Oreochromis niloticus: one gene and its partner. The protein of the gene in region 2 purifies or fractionates together with the protein of the main gene of each other region. This does not show direct contact. Links are inferred from orthologs where the notes say so. Each region holds a gene or a part of one and is shown on either strand. Other genes may lie near its edges.

The links.
Region 1: the proteins of map2k5 (region 2) and hsp90 co-chaperone Cdc37 purify together in Homo sapiens (affinity purification with mass spectrometry; 3 studies listed by BioGRID and IntAct, with this or other methods). This does not show direct contact. The link is inferred for Oreochromis niloticus from reciprocal best matches to the Homo sapiens genes MAP2K5 and CDC37.

What each region holds. Positions count from the first base shown.
Region 1 is NC_031969.2:24,156,408-24,160,329, reverse strand, and holds the start of hsp90 co-chaperone Cdc37, read right to left. Parts: upstream 2,405-3,922; 5' UTR 2,171-2,404; coding exon 2,063-2,170; intron 1,855-2,062; coding exon 1,573-1,854; intron 663-1,572; coding exon 560-662; intron 473-559; coding exon 357-472; intron 257-356; coding exon 134-256; intron 1-133. UniProt on the Homo sapiens protein: Co-chaperone that binds to numerous kinases and promotes their interaction with the Hsp90 complex, resulting in stabilization and promotion of their activity. Inhibits HSP90AA1 ATPase activity.
Region 2 is NC_031965.2:12,301,663-12,305,584, forward strand, and holds the start of map2k5 (dual specificity mitogen-activated protein kinase kinase 5), read right to left. Parts: upstream 2,496-3,922; 5' UTR 2,122-2,495; coding exon 2,023-2,121; intron 1,851-2,022; coding exon 1,802-1,850; intron 965-1,801; coding exon 897-964; intron 1-896. UniProt on the Homo sapiens protein: Acts as a scaffold for the formation of a ternary MAP3K2/MAP3K3-MAP3K5-MAPK7 signaling complex.

The DNA of each region.
Region 1 (3,922 bases), on a different chromosome or scaffold from region 2:
TAGAAGCTAAACTAAAACTAAACATTTTCAAACAACAAAAACTAAACCAAATCAATAAATCACACTCTGGAAACTTTTTCAAAAGTTATACTATAGCTACCAAGTTAAATAAAAGCAACAAAAACATAGTTACTTTAATCTTTGCAAAAAACTGGCGAAAGCATCCACGGGGGTCAACTTTGAGGCTTTTGGCAAGCTCCAGAATGAACTGCATGACGATGGTCTGATGAGCCACTTGCTCCATCAATGCGTGTTTCTGCACAAGGAAGAAGCATTTTTACAGCTTAATATTTAGATGCAGTATGGTCACGTGCAGAAGGAATTCATGACAAACAAGCTCTGTTTGTATTACTTACCTCCTCAACTTCAAGGTCGATGCACATGATAACCAGGTAGTTGGCAGTCTCTTCGCATACCAGATGAGGATGGTCAGAGAGGTACTTCTGGCTGTCATCCCAACGCCGCAACATGCCTGCAGTAACGAGAGTAATGAAGAAGCATCTCTACTCTCACCAGTACCTTATAACGAGAGTAAATAATGATGCATGCGAGTGCTTACCGAAATGTTTGATCTCTTTCTCATATTTCTCCACAAATGTTTTGTGCTTTTGCTCCTTCTCTTCTTCGGTCTCTTCAGTTTCAGGTTTGACATTAACAATACTCTATGAAAAGAACAGTGGAAGAATGGACTCATTAAAGACAATGTCTCTGAGTTCTACAGAAAGAATGTCATTGCATACAAGTTAGAGATGTTAATATTAATGAACCCATACCTGAAAATTGCAAGAAAAGATTTCATTGTGTTACAAAGTCAAAGACTGACAGTAGATGTAGACTTCTGCATTGAATCTACACTGTAGGTATGTCGTAACAACAACAGTTGTATTGGCTTGTTCAGTACTGTCAATTCCTCCTCTGCATTTCTGGCTACTTTTTTTTTAATACTTGCTGAATCTATCAGGTAATTAACACTACGCACAAGCATGAATGCTGGCGAGAGTATTGGATCCTTGTGGAGGTTGCTTTGTAGGATCTGCAAAGACTCAACACAGAACTCTAAATCAACTGTAAATGTTGAAACAGAAAAGTCGACTCTGTATGTGTGCCCTTTCCTATTTCCCTCAGTCTAACGTCTACTCTTAAGTAACTGGTGATACTTCCAGCTTTGAGCCAAGGATCAGTGCAGGTGATGGCAGCTGAAGCCACATCTGAAGTACCATGTCCTTTCACACATTTTATTCTAAGGCAGGACAGATGGGCACAGTGGTATAGGAGTAGAATGGATGATAAAGCAAGGTGAACAAGGTGTTGAACTTTTGAGGGGATCTAATGGCTCTGTTGTGGGGGACATGTGGTGATCATGTTTTTGGCCAATTTTTCCCTTGGATGTCAGGCTCAAACAAACAATTGCACAAGTTAAAAGAAGAAATACGGAGAAAAGACACAACAGTTTTGTTAGCTTTTGTTTTCCTGAAAATACTTGACAAAAAAAAAAAGAAAAAAAAGAGTGTAATAAATGATGTGCGATGTAAAACCTGTAGTGCTTTTTAAGCTCCACTTACTCTACCTCACCTTGCTGAACCCATCCTTGCTGAGCGTGTCTACATTCCATGGCATCTTCTTCTCCTCCCGTTGGTAGTCTCCCACCTTTCTCTCCCAATCCCGTTCCTCTTTTTTCAGTTTCTTCTCCTCAGCCTGAACTTTGCTCAACTCTGCTTTGGCATCTTCTGACGTTGAAATGGTCAGCTCCTTGATTTTCTTCTGTGTGTCTGCCAGCTTGCGTCTGCACTCGGACAGTCCCTTGTTTAGTTCTTCACCTTTCTTCTGAAATTCCTCCATCCGCTCCACACGAGCCTGAGGTCAAAACATAAAATCTTTACTACTTGTTTTTGTCAAATATGGACTTAGTTGCAAAAAGTTAAACATTCCTATATTTATGTTAAAAGTGAACACAGCACCAAAGTAAACACACGAGGTCAGCTAACAGTTCAAGTCAAATATGCACCACTTTTACTTTATGTGTAGCATCTTAATTGTAATCATGCGTGGCTTATTGGTATACCTGGTGTCTCCATCTGAAGAGGCTGGGTGTGTCGATGTTTGGATGGGTGTCATCCTCATCGTCCGACACCTCAATGTGGTCCCACACGCTGTAATCTATCCTGGACATCCTGACACCAAGACCCCAAAGCTAACACCGTTAGCTTACAATAGGCTTCGGCTACGTTCGTGAGCTATGAGAAGCTAACAAGTTTGATTGAAACGAGGACAGACCGCAAAATCGCCGCACTGCGCAGAAATACGTATTTGTTTCTTTAGAAGAGATTCTTGCTGTGTTAGATGTAGACAAACTCAGATGAACCTCCCTGAAGACAGCGGGCTGGAGAGTGCTACAGAATTCTAGAAAGAATTGGAGCTACAGATTTCCGTTTGACGTCATCACGTCATTGCGTCAACAGGACGACGCCGGAAATCGGAACACAAGAGTGCTGTTCCTTTCCCTTCGACTAGATTAAAATAAAATAAAATAAAATAAAATAAAATAAAATAAAATAAATGACTCACTGTAACTTCTCTTCAAAACATCATCGTTTTAAATTTGTCAGAACAAAAATGAAGTGTAAAGGTAAAGAATAATTTTGTATTTATTTAGTCTTAATATGTTATAATACCTTAAAGTATAGAGACTTAAAGAATTTAATTTAAAAGGACTTCAATTAATGAAAAATAGGAACCCCACATCTTCTTCTGATTGCCACAGAGAACCACCTGTCTCCATCTCATCCTATCCCTAACATCATCATCATCCATCTGTGTGTCCTTCTTCACTACATCTATTAAACTTCTATGTAGTCTTCCTCTTTCCTTCCTGCCCACTAGGTCCATCTTCAGCATTCCGTGTCCTCTATATCATTATTCCTCCTCTAAACATGTCCATCTATTTTCACCTTCATCTATTGTAAGTACTGCAGTTCTGCACATCACCCTCACTCTTGAATATCGTGAAGGTAAACAATCTGGGTAAAAAGTCCACTGCTCATCTCCAACAGGTATAGAGAAACCATCTATACCAGCCACTTTTCACTCTTTATCCTCTCTACACCTACCCTCACTTTCTCCTTACTAATCCCTTGCACTTCCCGATTCACCAACTGTCCTCCTGTCCTTCATGCATCCTCCCTCACCCACTCATTTTTCACATTAATCAGCTCCTCAAAGTACTCCTTCCACCTTCCAAGCCCTCTTTACTCGTTAGTACATTTCTGTCTCTATCCTTAATCACCCTGAACTGCTGCACATCCTTTCAAGGTCGAGGGCTCTGCCTAGCTGATAGAACAAGTCTTTTTCTCCTTTCTCAATGTCCATTCTCACGTGCATCTCACTATAAGCCTTTTCCTTTGCTGTAGACCTTGCTTACCGGTACTCATGTCTACATTCTTTATTTCCCTTACTATCCCACCTTGTCTTTGCTAACTTCTTCCTTTGAATGCTTTCCTGTATTTTTTCATTCCAACACTAAGTATGAAATATATTCTTGTCAGTTTCCCTCACCACTACAGCTGTACTTTCCCAGTCATCTGATGACTCTTCACTATTACCCAGAGCTGGCCTCAACTCTTCCCTGAACTCTGCACAGCATTCTTCCTTCCTCAACCTCCACCATTCAGTGATTATCTCTGCCTTCAACTGCTTCCTCTTTTTGATGTCCAAACTCATCTTACAGACTACCATCTAATACTGCCCAGTTACATTCTCCCCTGAAACCACTGAGCAGGCTCCTGTCTCTTTCAGATTACACCTTCTACATGTTTGTTTGCTCCATTCTTATGCCACCCTCTTCTCGACCCACTACCATCAGTGCTTTCACATTTCTTTCCTTAACCCAAAACCTCTGATCAACTTTTAACCTACATATCCACTG
Region 2 (3,922 bases):
ACCACAGGCTTAACTGCAGCCCCAAACCATGACGGAGCCTTCACAGCGTTTAACAGATAGCTGTAGAAACTCACTGTTCTACCTTTAACCTAAACTCAACCAACTTTAAACAAATTTAGCTTCATCACTTCATAAGACCTGTTGCCACACAGTTTCAGTCCATATCTTGTGTAATTTAGGTTGTCACCTCTGGCTACCAGTGGCTGTTTTTGTTTCTCAAACTCATTATCATGTAACTTTCATGAACACCACAAACAATCACACAGACAATAAAACTCATACTCACATACACACAGAAAGACTGTACGTTTGCGTATCTATCCCCTATCAGGTGCTGTTTATTTGTTGAATGGGTTTTGTTACAGATGCAGCAGTTGGTGACCTATTGTCCTTTGTGTCTTTTTTTCCCACCCTTTTTAAAAAAAATTCTCTGTCTCTTTTTTGCTTTACCTTTCTTCATGCTGATCTGACCCTCGCTTTCCCATGTCTTAATGACTCCTTTGGGCTTTCAGATACTTTTCATCTACTGTAGATAATATTTTTAGGCCTACCACATCTTCTTTTGTTCTCCATTTCTGATTTCTTGACAAACCTTGCCGAGATATGTGATTTTTGACTAATAGCTCAAAACAACAAACATCAGTCCTCTGAAAATGGTCAGGTAGAAGGACTGAACTAAAAATGAGTAAAAAATAAAAATCAGCCAATATCCTGACCTTCAGATAGCCTAGAGAATTATGCTCAAGAGCACTTTAAAGACTTACAAAGTTCAGCTTGTTGGAAACAAAATATAAAGATGAAGCAAGGGTTGCTCGAGACTTTTGCACAGTATTGTAATTTGTGGGTATTATTGCCTGACTTGGTCAAAGTACTGCATGCAACATTTATGTACTCACATATGACAACATGGCTTTGAGTTCTTCATCACTTCTTACTGTGATTCTGTCTCCCACCTCATCTTCATCTAAAAAAACAAAAAACACAAAAACAACACATAAACAAAAATAGTACAACTGTAAAAAATAAAATACTAATAATGGGGAAGGGGGGAAATCACAGAGAAAATTCAAAACAGAACAAGTGTGATATAAATATAAACAGAGGATACTGTAAAACAACACTATTATGTATTTAATAAACATTTAATTAAAAAAAAAGGCAAGCAAACAAGAAAGCATATCATTCCATATTAAGTATTAATGCAATAGCAAAATTTGGGGAGCCAAAACATACAATCAAAATCATACAATAAAATATAACGTATAAAAGCACTCAGTAAGCGTTATTTTGATGTTTGTATGTCAATCAAACTCTTTGCATGTTCTATCCATAAACAGGCTTGAATGGTGCCTATTCCAAGACCCTAAATCTTAATTTGATTGAATGAGAGAAACTTCAACTGCTCCTGTCAATCAGTCCGTTAGTACAGCAGCTATGGCATTTCTGGATAAAACGCAGGCTAGAGGTTAACACGGGTAGTAAAAAAGGGAACAGAGAAGAGAGAAGCTAACACAATGAAAATGAAATGTGTGAAGCTTTTTACTCTCTCAGATAGATGAAGCCAGTTCAAGATGGCTAGAGTCTAGCCCATGACAGCAGGGATCGGTGCTTACAGTATATGATGGATAAACAAGTGTCCCACACAGCTGCATGAGATCTCCTCTCCTTCAGACCAATCCGATAACTGATTACAAGTCCCTACATTACAGGGCTATTGTTTTGGTGTGTAAACACAGTCATTCAAAGCTTCCCATTTCCTCTTGCAGCATTACAGCAGTCCAACTCTAAAGCAGGTACTTACATTCAAAGGCCGTGACAGTGGCTTCAGGCATGACATCTCTGATTGCGACCTGTAATGTTTGACAGGTTGAATTAGGACCAGACAGCTAAGGATGGTTATTAGACTGACAGATATTAATGAGGCAGGGTTACGATACGCGGAGTCAGAAACAGTCCGTGTGTTTTTGGCTTGTGCAGTGTGTCTATGAGTGAAAAGTGATAGTTGGCAAGAGGCAGACTCACGAGCAAGTCATTGAAGTTCAGAAGAGACGGACAGTCCACGGACGAGTCCATGTCTCCTGACGGCGTTTTTATACGGATCACTATAGCCTCGGTGTTCATTGCGCTGTCAGTATTTAACCTCAGTGAGAGCAATAAGAGGGAAGGTTCAGCCTCATAATACTTGACTGGATGTGGAAGCTAACCAGCTAATTTCCTGCAGCAGTTTGCTAACGACACATGCTAGCATCCTGCTCTGTCCGGATTCTTGATTTAAGTGATGCGGAGCTTTTTAAAAAAACAAAAAGGTTTTGAGGTCGGTCGCCGCCGACACCACAGTCAAGTCATAACCGTATGAAAGGCTTATCCCGAAGTGTGAACGTGTACACCACTGCTCCACGAGACAAAGTTTACACTGTACTAACGGAGGTGTTTAGCTGTGTAGCTAGTTTTGAGGAAACTGCTACAACAGCGCTTCCGAATCAACATCCGCTCGTGGCCTTTTCAAAATAAAAGACTTGCACACTATCTATATCAATCTGTCAAATTCTAATAGGCGAAGTTTGAGAGAACGCTGCTATTCTTATGGATCTTAGGTTTTTTTTTTTTTCTATGTTATAAAATGAAATATACATACGGTTTAAACAGTTTTTGAAAGTTTCTGCACTGAAAAGGAATTATTACCGCTTTTGCTGTAGATAACACTGATCTGAGATCAAGGTTGATAAGTTGAGTACAATAGTGAGAATACAATAGCTTTCTGAGGTATTATGGATAAATATTCCTTTAAAAACATGACCTTAGATCACAATTGTAAATGTTTCGTAAATGGCCCTCACTTACACGGAAATCTACTACTGTTGAGATGAAAACCACCCCTGTCTTTTAAAAAGTGTTTTTTCCCTCTTTCACTTGACATTAAAACAGCATTAGTATTTAAAGGTTTCCACTCTGCACTCGCCATTAGCATATAATTGAGTGTAAAACAAAAGGGCTCTTAAAACCTCTGTTGATCACGGCCCTATGAGTGAGCAGCTGCTCTGTCCACTCTATAAACAGCTCTGATTGCAGTTCACGGAAAAAAGACATTGATCCCTGAGTAAAGTGAAGTCTCTATGTTGTTCATTTACATTGCTCTGCCCACAGCCTTGATACCTAAGTCTGTTCACCTGGGTTCTGTGTAATGATAAGAAGCTGTTAAAGCCCATGGCTCAAATTTGGCTATACAATACATGTGCCAGTTGAAAACAATTTCAGTGGTGGTGTGTGTGCTGTGCCGACCATTACACTAGGCTGTGTTTCATTGGCTCTTACAAAAAATGTCTCCACCCCATATTGGCCTGAGGATGAACTCCTCTATCAGTGTTTACCATCTCATTTAAAAAGAAAAGGAAATGTAAAACACTGAATCTACCATATATTCATTTACTTGTCTGTATTTGAACCTTTAAAAAACACCCCCAGAGGGATGTTACAAGTTCATTGCATTGATCCTTCCTGATCTTACACCTGTACCAACTATTGGGTTAAAGACCCACTGATTTCCATGCAATGCTTGAAATTATTACTCCGCCTAATTGCAACTGGATACAAAAGGGGAAACACAAGCAAGGCCATCAAGCGCTCAGATTAATGCCTCGACCAGCACTGACTTCTGATGAAAAGCAGAGGATCTATATGGCACTTTGTCAGACGTGCTCTCCCAGGACGTGACGTTAGATCCTTCTGCTTTAGGGACAACGAGGATGAAGCCCAGTCAGCAATCCACATTATCAGAAATCAAACTCCTGACTTAGCTGGGAGGGGAAAGTGGACGAGGAAGGCCAACATTCACTGTCTGGTAATTAAAAGCCGTTTTATCAGGCCTCCTCTCTCGCTCCATGCCTCTTTTCTTGCTATTGACAAGCTGCTTAACGCAAAGAGA